Linked DNA regions of Arabidopsis thaliana. The protein of the gene in region 1 interacts with the protein of each later gene in a pairwise test. Each region holds a gene or a part of one and is shown in the gene's direction. Other genes may lie near its edges.

Region 1 (6,552 bases):
CTAAATTTGCAGAGGTGGTTGTTGCCAAAAGATATGTGAATACTTTATTGGAAATTATAATAGGGTTGTTGCGTGGCTCATTTGAAAATGAAGAAAGCTTACTCTCTATTATTTGTTACTTTCCCTGATGTTTATATGAACCTTTCACAAACAGTCATTTCAGCATGAAGTTCTATCACTTGCCATTTTGCACACGTTTTTAAAATCGAGCTTTGACATACTTGGTTTCTTCTGTTATAGGTTATTCGAGAATCATTCAAAGGTGAGCGCCATTTGTTATATTTTACTTCTCTGGTGAAAGTAATTGAATACATACCATTTTAAATAGTTAGCAGTCACTTTATCGTGACAATGGATCAAAATGGTTCTGTTTATAATAAATATATATGCTTATCGCTGCCTACTTTCTGACCTTGTTGAAACTCTTGTTGAAATGTGTGATACAGGTTTCGCAAACTTTGTTGACAATAACCGTAAACTCTTTTCGAAAATCAACGCAATCTGCCTCAGTTTGGTAAGATATGAAATGTTAGTCTCCCGTAATTTCTACACCCCTTGAATAACTTTCTGAAGTCATATCCTTGGAGTTTTGCTTTGTTGCAGGAATCTTAAACTTGGCATTTTAGATGCCTGTACTTAAAACTTTCTCTTTTCTTGTATGATAGCTTGGGATTTCAACATTCCGTGGCATTGATGTGCCAATCCAAAGCTTTTACTAAATTGCAAAAACCATATTTGCAGTCACGGTTATGACTTTGGAGATAGAAGGACTTAATACTTTTTTCCTTTTTATAGTTTAACCTCTGCTTCCCTGGCTACTTCAACTGGTCTGACTTTGTTATTGCATTTACCTGGTTATTTTGGGAACTTAATAGTGTTTATTCCATGATTAATATTCTAGGTGCCATGGATCCAAGTGAGCAGGTCAAGATCACTGCTACTATCCGTTCAACCTAAGGTTTTCCTTGCAGCAGTTGGCATTGGAATGTACGCATTCTTCTTTTAACATATAGAAAAGATACCAAGTGAAGAAGCTCATGGAAATATTTGGCTTGTGTGTTAGAAATGCGGATTACGTTTGACAGAAGATTCTTACGTCTTCTTACAGATTGCTGCATCTTTCTCTACTAGCATTCAATGCTGTTTCAATCCGCATCCTCTCCGGTCTTACAGGTGGTAGCAAGAGCTCCAAGGAAAACAGCACTGCAGTTTTGCTCGTTTCAAGCCAGGTAATAATAGAGTTTGCCTTTTAGAACCGATTTTGATCTCTTAAATTTGGGAGTTCTTTTCTTGTGGTGGCATAGAAAACATTACCGGTAATGGTGGCGGTAGTAGAGCAATTAGGAGGTGCATTTGGTGAGACAGGGCTATTGGTTCTTCCTTGTGTAGCTGCACACCTGAACCAGGTTACAAATTGTATTATAATCATCATGTACTTGTGTGCATAATTTTATAAATTATTGACGTAAATCTGGAATGTTACAGATCATGATTGATTCAGTTCTTGTCAACTTATGGCTCCGGAGAGGAAAAGATACTTCGACTAAAGTAAAGACAGCTTGAGAGAGAGAGAGAGAGATAGAAAGCAATGAAACCAATGCTGTGGAGAAGGTTACATCCTAAACACACTGAATGTCAGTTATATACATAGCAGCAAGACTGGGGATTTTGATATCTTTCCAATCACCAAAGCTTAGTTGATCATTGACCATCTCTCTCTCTCTCTCTCTTTCTGTATGTATATGCTCTAGAGATTCCGGTCGGTGTTTGCTGATCCAATTTGTATGATTTATGAAACTATGTAAAAAAAAAACTTGTATCTATATTTGAAAACATTTAGTCATTTGACGTTACCAGCGTACAAAGCAATTCATATGTAATCTGTCTGATAAGCAGCTAGGAAAGAGGACTAAGAACCGGTTCTTTTCTCAATTTAATTGAACTAACCATCACTACAATTTCATTTAGTCCTGGTTCGACCAATTCGGTTTGTAAATAAAATAAAAACCGATCGAGAGCGTTTTAATTGTCCTCGGTTTTCAGTTTCGGTATGGAAATAGAATCAAATCGAATCCGGTTTAGTGAGTAAATCACGAAACCCTAATTCTATATATTTTTTCATCTCGACCAAAATGCTTGGACGGCTACACACCATTTTTGTTTAGATTCGTAATCCTCCTCAAGCATCTCCTTCGCAAATCTCCATCTCCATCTCCATCTTCTGAATTCAGGTAATTTTGTTCCTCATCATCTAGCGTAACAAATTTTCGATTCTAGTTTGGTGTAGATTGATTCGAATCGATTCTAATTCTTTGTTGATACGAGTCTGTATCTGTGACACGATTGTTTCGTTCAGATTATGTTCTTCGAATGGATTGGTTTGTTTTACTTATAATTTCGTTCCTCTGATTCACTATTCAGATTTGTTACTTTTGGTGTATCAGGTTCTTGTTGCTTACGCTTCCAGCTAAAAAGATGACGTCTCGTTTTTTCACTCAGGTTTCCTTCAACAGACCTCTTGTTTATAAACTCTCTTTACCTTTACTTGCTTCAGTTTCTGAATGATTTTTACTTGTTATGTTGATAGGTTGGAAGTGAAAGTGAAGATGAAAGTGATTATGAGGTAGAGGTTAATGAGGTTCAGAATGATGACGTCAATAACCGTTACCTTCAAAGTGGTAGTGAGGATGATGATGATACTGATACGAAACGTGTGGTTAAGCCTGCTAAGGATAAACGTTTTGAGGAGATGACCTACACTGTTGATCAGATGAAGAATGCTATGAAGATCAATGATTGGGTCAGCCTTCAAGAAAACTTTGATAAGGTTAACAAACAGCTTGAGAAGGTTATGAGGATTACTGAGGCTGTGAAGCCTCCTACCTTGTATATCAAGACGCTTGTTATGTTGGAGGATTTCTTGAATGAAGCTCTTGCCAATAAGGAAGCCAAGAAGAAGATGAGTACTAGTAACTCCAAGGCTTTGAACTCAATGAAACAGAAATTGAAGAAGAACAATAAGTTGTACGAAGACGATATCAACAAGTATCGTGAGGCTCCAGAAGTTGAGGAAGAGAAACAACCTGAAGATGATGATGATGATGACGATGATGATGATGAGGTTGAAGATGATGATGATTCTTCCATCGACGGACCTACCGTAGATCCTGGGTCCGATGTGGATGAACCTACTGATAATCTCACTTGGGAGAAGATGCTGAGCAAAAAAGATAAGCTTTTGGAGAAGCTAATGAATAAAGATCCTAAAGAGATCACTTGGGACTGGGTCAACAAGAAGTTCAAGGAAATTGTGGCTGCTCGTGGAAAAAAGGGCACTGCTCGATTTGAGCTAGTTGATCAGCTTACGCACTTGACAAAGATTGCCAAGACTCCTGCACAGAAGCTTGAAATCTTGTTTAGCGTTATTTCGGCTCAGTTTGATGTGAATCCAGGTCTCAGCGGGCACATGCCTATCAATGTCTGGAAGAAATGCGTGCTTAACATGCTCACCATACTGGACATTCTCGTCAAGTACAGTAACATTGTTGTGGATGACACAGTTGAGCCTGATGAGAACGAAACTTCAAAGCCAACAGATTATGATGGAAAAATTCGGGTCTGGGGAAATTTGGTTGCATTCTTGGAGAGGGTTGACACTGAGTTTTTCAAGAGTTTGCAATGCATTGATCCTCACACCCGTGAGTATGTTGAGAGGCTAAGGGATGAGCCCATGTTCTTGGCCCTTGCTCAGAACATCCAGGACTACTTTGAGCGGATGGGTGATTTTAAAGCTGCTGCAAAGGTAGCCTTAAGACGTGTTGAGGCAATATACTACAAGCCCCAGGAAGTTTATGATGCAATGAGGAAATTGGCTGAGTTGGTGGAAGAAGAAGAAGAAACTGAGGAGGCCAAAGAGGAAAGTGGACCTCCTACTTCATTTATTGTTGTTCCGGAGGTTGTTCCCCGTAAGCCTACCTTCCCAGAGAGCAGCCGAGCTATGATGGATATTCTTGTGTCCCTTATCTACAGAAATGGAGATGAGCGGACCAAAGCGCGTGCGATGCTATGTGATATCAATCACCATGCTTTAATGGACAACTTTGTGACTGCTAGAGACCTGTTGCTGATGAGTCATCTGCAAGACAACATCCAGCACATGGACATCTCAACACAGATTCTCTTTAACAGGACCATGGCGCAGCTTGGTCTTTGCGCCTTCCGGGCTGGAATGATCACTGAGTCCCATAGCTGCCTTTCCGAGCTGTACTCTGGTCAAAGAGTGAGAGAGTTGCTTGCCCAAGGTGTCTCGCAAAGCCGATACCATGAGAAAACCCCGGAGCAGGTAACTAGTTATCTTCTGTTTTTAGATTTAATACAGATAGGATTGAAAAAAAATTGTTTGACCAGATAGTTCTGATTGAGACATGATTACAAACACTGTTGCATTTTTGGGTTCTTCATTTTGTTTCATTTCACACAATCCATTTTCTCTATTTCAACATGGATGCTTATGGTTATGTTTTTCGTTCAGTTTATTTATATGTGATATAAAACTTTCTTGGTTTATTTCTTGATTTACCAGGAAAGGATGGAAAGGAGAAGACAAATGCCGTACCACATGCACTTAAACCTTGAGCTTCTGGAGGCAGTTCATCTCATCTGTGCCATGCTTCTTGAAGTCCCAAACATGGCTGCAAACTCGCACGATGCCAAACGCAGAGTGATTAGCAAGAATTTCCGCCGCCTGCTCGAGATCAGTGAAAGGCAAGCATTCACTGCACCGCCTGAGAATGTACGTGACCATGTCATGGCAGCCACCAGAGCCCTGACCAAAGGAGATTTCCAGAAGGCGTTTGAAGTTTTGAACTCTCTTGAGGTCTGGAGGCTGCTCAAGAACCGTGACAGCATCCTTGACATGGTGAAGGATAGGATCAAAGAAGAGGCTCTAAGGACTTACCTATTCACATACTCAAGCTCTTATGAGTCCTTGAGTCTTGATCAGCTGGCCAAAATGTTTGACGTCTCTGAGCCGCAGGTCCACAGCATTGTGAGTAAGATGATGATTAATGAGGAACTGCATGCAAGCTGGGATCAGCCAACACGATGCATCGTCTTCCATGAAGTGCAACACAGCAGATTACAATCATTGGCTTTCCAGTTAACGGAGAAACTCTCGATTTTGGCAGAAAGCAATGAGAGGGCAATGGAATCTAGAACCGGTGGAGGTGGTCTGGATCTGAGTTCAAGGAGAAGGGACAACAATCAGGACTATGCAGGAGCAGCATCAGGTGGTGGTGGATATTGGCAAGACAAGGCGAATTACGGACAAGGAAGACAAGGCAACAGATCAGGTTATGGTGGAGGAAGATCATCTGGACAAAATGGTCAGTGGTCAGGGCAGAACCGAGGAGGAGGGTATGCAGGAAGAGTTGGTTCAGGAAACAGAGGTATGCAGATGGATGGCTCAAGCCGTATGGTGAGTCTTAACCGAGGTGTTCGTACTTAAAGAGGATGAGGAGAAATCTGCAGTGTTGACCTTAGTCTCAACCTTTTGTTATGTTTTGGATTCCTTTTGGTTATCAAATGGTTCTTTCTAAGAGATGTTCATCACATTTTCTCGCATTGTGATTGTTTATTTTCTTTGTGATATTGGCAGTTGTTGGAAAAGACTTTTAAGAATGCTTTACTGGAAAGTTTAATAAGTTTTTTTTTATGCGTCATTCTTGTTGAAAAGAAGAAGGCTTAGGTTTTTTCTCGTATGCTTGCAGGTCTGTTTTTGTTGATGTCTTTTACTCTTTCATCTTTGTTTGCTTAGTAACTTCCTCTCGATGAAGTGTTTGATTAATTTCTTATCAAGAACATCTGTGATTTAATCGGCTACTTTCGTGGAGCTAGCGACAATGAATATTGTTGAGAAAATTCTTTTTTTTTTTTGGAACTCTTATCTTATTATAACTCATGTTGTATGGCAAACACAGATACAAAAAAGAAACACAAGCTTGTCGTAGTAAGTACTAAGTAGTAACTAGTACAAGTGACATGGTTGCATTTGCCAAAGCCGGATAAAGATGCTGAAGAAGTATCCGGTGGAGTGAAAGGCTCTTCTGCTGCACTTAAAAGGATAATAATGCTGTGGACTTGCGGCTCAGAGACGTCAAACATTTTGGCCAGCTGATCAAGACTGGAGGACTCATAAGAGCCGGATAAAGATTCTCTCAGCAATCTTCACATCACTCATATTGTTAGTTATTGTCACTCTCTCTCTACTCTATGTTGAATCTGCACAATTAATGTTGATGATTTAAATGTCCTTTTTCTTTGCTTACATACCAAATAGAATTTCTGAACCACAACTTATTGCCAGCTGAGATACCATCTCCTTCTCCCGTGCAAAAGTATTTGTCAACTAGAAAAATGATTGCTTAAGTACGAAGAACGATAAATAGAGAAACAATCAATGTGAGTTTAAGACAACAAATTTATATTGAAACCATCACTATTTGCCAAGCACATGTACGAACATACAACTTAAGAAATGTGAAATTATTATAT
Region 2 (5,287 bases), on another chromosome or scaffold:
AAACTCCAAAAAACCAAACTATCGCCTGTCAATTTCCAGATGTGTAAATTGAAATAATATTATTCTTTCTTTTATTTTATTTTTTTATTTTTTGGTAAATAAAAGTTTTTTTTTAGTTTAAGTATGTATTGATTCTTAACCTTGAAATTTCTAGTGTTCTAAATAGATTTATTTCTTTACTCCTTTATATGATTTTTTTAGTTAAATGTTTTTGTCTTTTACAATTTTGATATAATTTCTGGAATCGTTATTGAGGTTTATATGGTAGATTTTTTTCTTTTATACAGGAAACATATCAAGAGATTAAATAGTAACGTGTATATATATTTTTGCTGGTCTTGAATTCTTTTTAATGTATGTACATTTTGTTGTTGTTTTATTGACATTTCACACGTTTTATTAAATATATTTCTACTTAGATAACGATTGAAAATAGGAATACGTCGTATACTGTAATTTGTAAGATTTTAATGTAGCTTTTTTTGGCACTGATACTTGATTACTTCTAAAAACTGAAAGATCTTGTAAAATGCAGTTTTTTTAATGGAAGAGAGAAATAATGGAACAGTGGATAAAAAAAAGCCAAAGACCTTTTTGATTTGAAATGATTTAGCTTTTAAATTTTGAAATAAGCTGATGGAAAATAGTTAGAAGTGGATAATTTATCTATCTGTTTATCACTTAGGTTAGATGAATTGGTCCCAAAAGTTGGAGCACGCATGTATATAGTTGGCATCATTATCCTTTGCTAATAATATAAAACTTAAGAAGCTAATAAATTAATATTGACAAAAAAGTCTAAACTAATAATAAAATTCTTCTTTTTTTTTGATGAGGTTATTTATCCTATATGGAAATGTATATGTTATTATTTAAATTCTATACGTATAATGCGTTAATGATATAAAAAATTGAGTTATTTTGTGTCATTTTAACTCTTTTTTAAATAGTACTCTTAGTTGTAGTTTATTAATTTGGAGAGAAAAGAACACCAATATTTTCACCGACATTCTTGTCACGTTATGGGATTGCGCAACGTTAACACTTGGACCCTGTCTATTCACCATCCTTGATGTGTACGATGAAACCAAGCGATGCTATAGCCTCCCACAAGCCACAACTCTTTTGAAATTTTATGTTGGATGTGCTTCGTTTAATTTTCGAATGTAATGCTTATTTTGTCATACACAATCATTGTGATTATTTTCGTTGTAACAACGGAGAAACACGAACTATATTTTGGAGGAGCCATTTCTTTAGTTTTTCCTATACATATGAATATGAATACTACTTAACATACAAGCAAAACAAAAATTTACCATTGGAGAATAAATAATGATTTCTATGATTTAGAATTTTTATGAATAGAAAAACAAAGTTTCATCACATCTAACAATTCAAATCCACTCCATACCAAAAAAAAGAAAAACAATTCAAATTAACTGAATGATATGATTCACATTTCATCAATTTTTCAATATATGATATATCGATTACCATACAACTATTTTACAATTCTACTATTATTTGACATTTTTTATTCAAAATTTGACTAATATTCGATATTTTTTTGTATAGATATTATTCCTCTTATTTATTTAATTTGTTGACAAACTTAACCATATGCATTCAATTGAATTTTTTCATTTTCCCCATTATTTTTGTTCGTAATGACTACTAATTACAACAAAACTATAGTTTATTATTTTCCTACAATTTAATGATCATTTTAAAAACTCCTTATCTGCTTAAAAGCATAATTGGAAATAATAATAATAAAGTGAAATGACAATAAAAGAAAACTTATTCAAGAAACTACAAAGTTATTCCTTGACAAAAAAAGTTATTCTATTGTCCAGTGAACAAATATGAGTTTTTGACTATTTTTTTTTTCACAAGTAATTTTTTTTCTTTGACAAGTGTATATTAAACATTCTAAACATTACATAGCCCAAACAAAGACCCTTTCAGGGTTTTAAGTAATTAATCAGTGACAAAAAAAAATGAAAATATTGTATTTATAAGTTTTTGATAGACAAACATAAGTTTTACAATTTTCCAAGGAAAAAGTCATATTTTCCTAGTAAAAACCTTTCGGGTTTTCCAATTTATTTACCAAAGATAATTGGTCTCTGAAAGAACAAAGCAAAACCTAAGAAAGCTAAAAAGACACTCAGCGAATTGAATTTGTAAAAAAATAAGAGAAAAAATCTTGATTTCTTCTGCGATCTTCGGTTCTCGACGCATCATGTGTTGAAGATTCTTCTATCTTCCTCTGTACATACTCTCTCTCTGCCCAAGTGTTGTTGAACCAAAAAGGGGTCAGATTTAGGGTTTTTGGAAGATTTTTGTGGCTGGACTGGCCCTGCAGCGATGTCTACCTCGTCGCAATCTTTTGTGGCTGGACGGCCTGCATCCATGGCTTCCCCTTCGCAATCGCACCGCTTTTGTGGTCCCTCAGCCACCGCTTCTGGTGGCGGAAGCTTTGACACTTTGAATCGTGTCATCGCTGACCTTTGCAGCCGTGGTAATCCTAAGGTAATGAAGAACATTGTAAAGTATTCTCCCTTTTTATGCTTTAGTAGAAACCCATATAACCCTTTTGCTTTTATTGCTTATCTGACGGAATCTCTCTGTTCTGGTTAATGGAAAATTCGAAGTTTTAGTTCTTATAGGTCTGGCAATTTGTGGGTTTTGATCTATTGTTGTTGGTTTCCATCAAGTATGCGACTTTGTTTATGATTTTTGGTTGTTGTATTAGGAGGGAGCTCCTTTAGCGTTTAGGAAACACGTAGAGGAAGCAGTTCGTGATCTTAGTGGTGAAGCTTCCTCTAGGTTCATGGAGCAATTATATGACAGGATTGCTAATTTAATTGAGAGCACTGATGTGGCGGAAAACATGGGTGCACTCAGAGCCATTGATGAGTTGACGGAGATTGGATTTGGTGAGAATGCTACTAAGGTTTCTAGATTTGCGGGTTACATGAGGACTGTGTTCGAGTTGAAGCGTGATCCTGAAATCTTGGTGCTTGCTAGTAGAGTTTTGGGGCACCTTGCTCGGGCAGGTGGAGCAATGACTTCTGATGAAGTGGAGTTTCAGGTAAGATTGTTTGTTTCCCTCCCCTTCCTATCACTGTCTCGGCTCATAGTTGCTCAATTCTTGATCTCGTTTTCACAGATGAAAACAGCTTTTGATTGGCTTCGCGTAGACAGGGTGGAATATCGTCGTTTCGCCGCCGTTTTAATATTAAAGGTATCCTGATTTCAGCTGCCCGATCCTTTAGATAAGCAGATCATTTTTTCTTTTAGTTACTCAGAAAGAAACTTCTGAACTAATAAATTGGATTATAGATGTTTGAAAAATGATAGTGATGATAACTTTCCAATCCTAAGTTAATACGGATATGGATGTTTTCTTGCAACATTGCAGGAGATGGCCGAAAATGCTTCTACTGTCTTTAACGTTCATGTCCCTGAATTTGTGGATGCTATCTGGGTTGCACTTAGGGACCCCCAGTTGCAAGTGCGAGAACGAGCTGTTGAAGCTTTGCGTGCATGCCTTCGTGTTATTGAGAAAAGGGAGACTCGATGGCGAGTGCAGTGGTAAGTATTCTCTTATCCTTGAAAATGATAATGTCTGAAATGTTTTCCTTAGGTTATGTATTTGGTATGATATTTTTGATGCAAGGCTTTTCTTTGTGTTGTTGCAATACTTTCATTTGCAATCACCCTCATTTAAGTACTACTTTGTATATTTTATTGTGTAAATGCAACTTATATTAGCTTTTTATGCTGTGGTCCCCCCCCCCCCCCCAAAATGGATGATATTCGAATATATATTCTTCCCATGGTGATACGTTTTGCAGACTTTCTACTGCATTTATATATATCATTGCCAATGCAATGTTTCAAATTATCAATAGGGGTTTCCATCTTTATTAACTGATCTTCTCTCAATTTGGCTTTTACAGGTACTATCGAATGTTTGAAGCTACACAGGATGGGTTGGGCAGAAATGCTCCGGTTCACAGTATTCATGGTTCTTTACTTGCCGTGGGGGAGCTGTTGAGGTAAATGCAGAAGTGGTTATCTATTTTGAAAGCATCCCTTTCTTTTAGTCAGACACTCAAGTTTGATTCTGGAATATTTCCGTAGAACAACTTGTTTGTCCCCATGATGCTCGGGTTGTTTTGTTAGTTTGTCTTCGTATTGTAGTTTACATCATTAAAAAAGTAGGCAATTCATGTATATTCCTCCACTCTCAGTGTATACCTGAACAAAAGACTCTTGACGACGAAAATTACGTTGTTTTCTGTTATAAGCAGATTGATTTCATGGCATATTGGGTGTTAGAGTTTACAGCTTAATGCTAGAGTTCGTTTGCAGGAATACAGGTGAGTTCATGATGTCTAGGTATAGAGAAGTTGCCGAAATTGTCCTCAGATACCTTGAACATCGTGATCGCCTTGTTCGCCTTAGCATCACCTCGTTACTGCCTCGCATTGCTCACTTTCTCCGTGACCGGTTTGTGACAAACTATTTAACGGTAAGTGACTGAGAGATTCTTAAAACCAAAAAATTTCTGGAAACGTGACACGAATTACTTTCTTGCAGATATGCATGAATCATATTCTTACTGTGTTAAGAATACCGGCTGAAAGAGCCAGTGGGTTCATCGCCCTTGGGGAAATGGCTGGTGCTTTGGATGGTGAGCTTATCCATTATTTGCCGACAATTATGTCTCATCTGCGGGATGCGGTGGGTCAAATTTTATTTATTTATTTATTTATTTTGTAATTACGTTTTACTACTTTTGTGTCAAAGTATTATATTGGGTTTTAGTTTTGAAAACTGAACTAGACAAGTGGCTTTGTTCGACTATGTTGTCCCTGTAGATTGCTCCACGTAAAGGCAGACCTTTGCTTGAAGCTGTGGCTTGTGTTGGTAACATCGCAAAGGCAATGGGATCCACAGTGGAAACTCATGTTCGAGATCTTTTAGATGTTATGTTTTCATCTAGTCTCTCTTCCACACTTGTTGACGCTCTTGACCAGATAACCATCAGGTAAAGTTGAACGAAAGAAGTTTGTTATTACATACATTGATGTGTATACGTTTAATGCTGACAATTCTTTGTATCTCAGCATTCCTTCTTTGCTGCCAACAGTACAAGATCGGCTTCTAGATTGCATTTCGTTGGTTCTTTCAAAATCCCATTATTCTCAAGCAAAGCCTCCTGTTACCATTGTCCGAGGTAGTACAGTGGGCATGGCACCACAGTCTTCTG

The links.
Region 2: the proteins of EIF3C (region 1) and TOR interact in binary tests that used the Arabidopsis thaliana proteins (3 or more experiments, as listed by UniProt).

What each region holds. Positions count from the first base shown.
Region 1 is NC_003074.8:20,832,744-20,839,295, reverse strand, and holds EIF3C (eukaryotic translation initiation factor 3C), read left to right. Parts: upstream 1-2,020; 5' UTR 2,021-2,231; intron 2,232-2,421; exon of another isoform or gene 2,422-2,444; 5' UTR 2,445-2,475; coding exon 2,476-2,499; intron 2,500-2,587; coding exon 2,588-4,342; intron 4,343-4,582; coding exon 4,583-5,506; 3' UTR 5,507-5,886; downstream 5,887-6,552. Other genes in the region: AT3G56160 (Sodium Bile acid symporter family), read left to right, coding at 241-262, 447-514, 902-987, 1,109-1,229, 1,305-1,406, 1,486-1,563. UniProt on the Arabidopsis thaliana protein: Component of the eukaryotic translation initiation factor 3 (eIF-3) complex, which is involved in protein synthesis of a specialized repertoire of mRNAs and, together with other initiation factors, stimulates binding of mRNA and methionyl-tRNAi to the 40S ribosome.
Region 2 is NC_003070.9:18,536,706-18,541,992, reverse strand, and holds the start of TOR (target of rapamycin), read left to right. Parts: upstream 1-1,997; 5' UTR 1,998-2,373; coding exon 2,374-2,538; intron 2,539-2,761; coding exon 2,762-3,100; intron 3,101-3,178; coding exon 3,179-3,253; intron 3,254-3,430; coding exon 3,431-3,603; intron 3,604-3,971; coding exon 3,972-4,070; intron 4,071-4,386; coding exon 4,387-4,546; intron 4,547-4,614; coding exon 4,615-4,758; intron 4,759-4,895; coding exon 4,896-5,065; intron 5,066-5,144; coding exon 5,145-5,287. UniProt on the Arabidopsis thaliana protein: Essential cell growth regulator that controls development from early embryo to seed production. Controls plant growth in environmental stress conditions. Acts through the phosphorylation of downstream effectors that are recruited by the binding partner RAPTOR.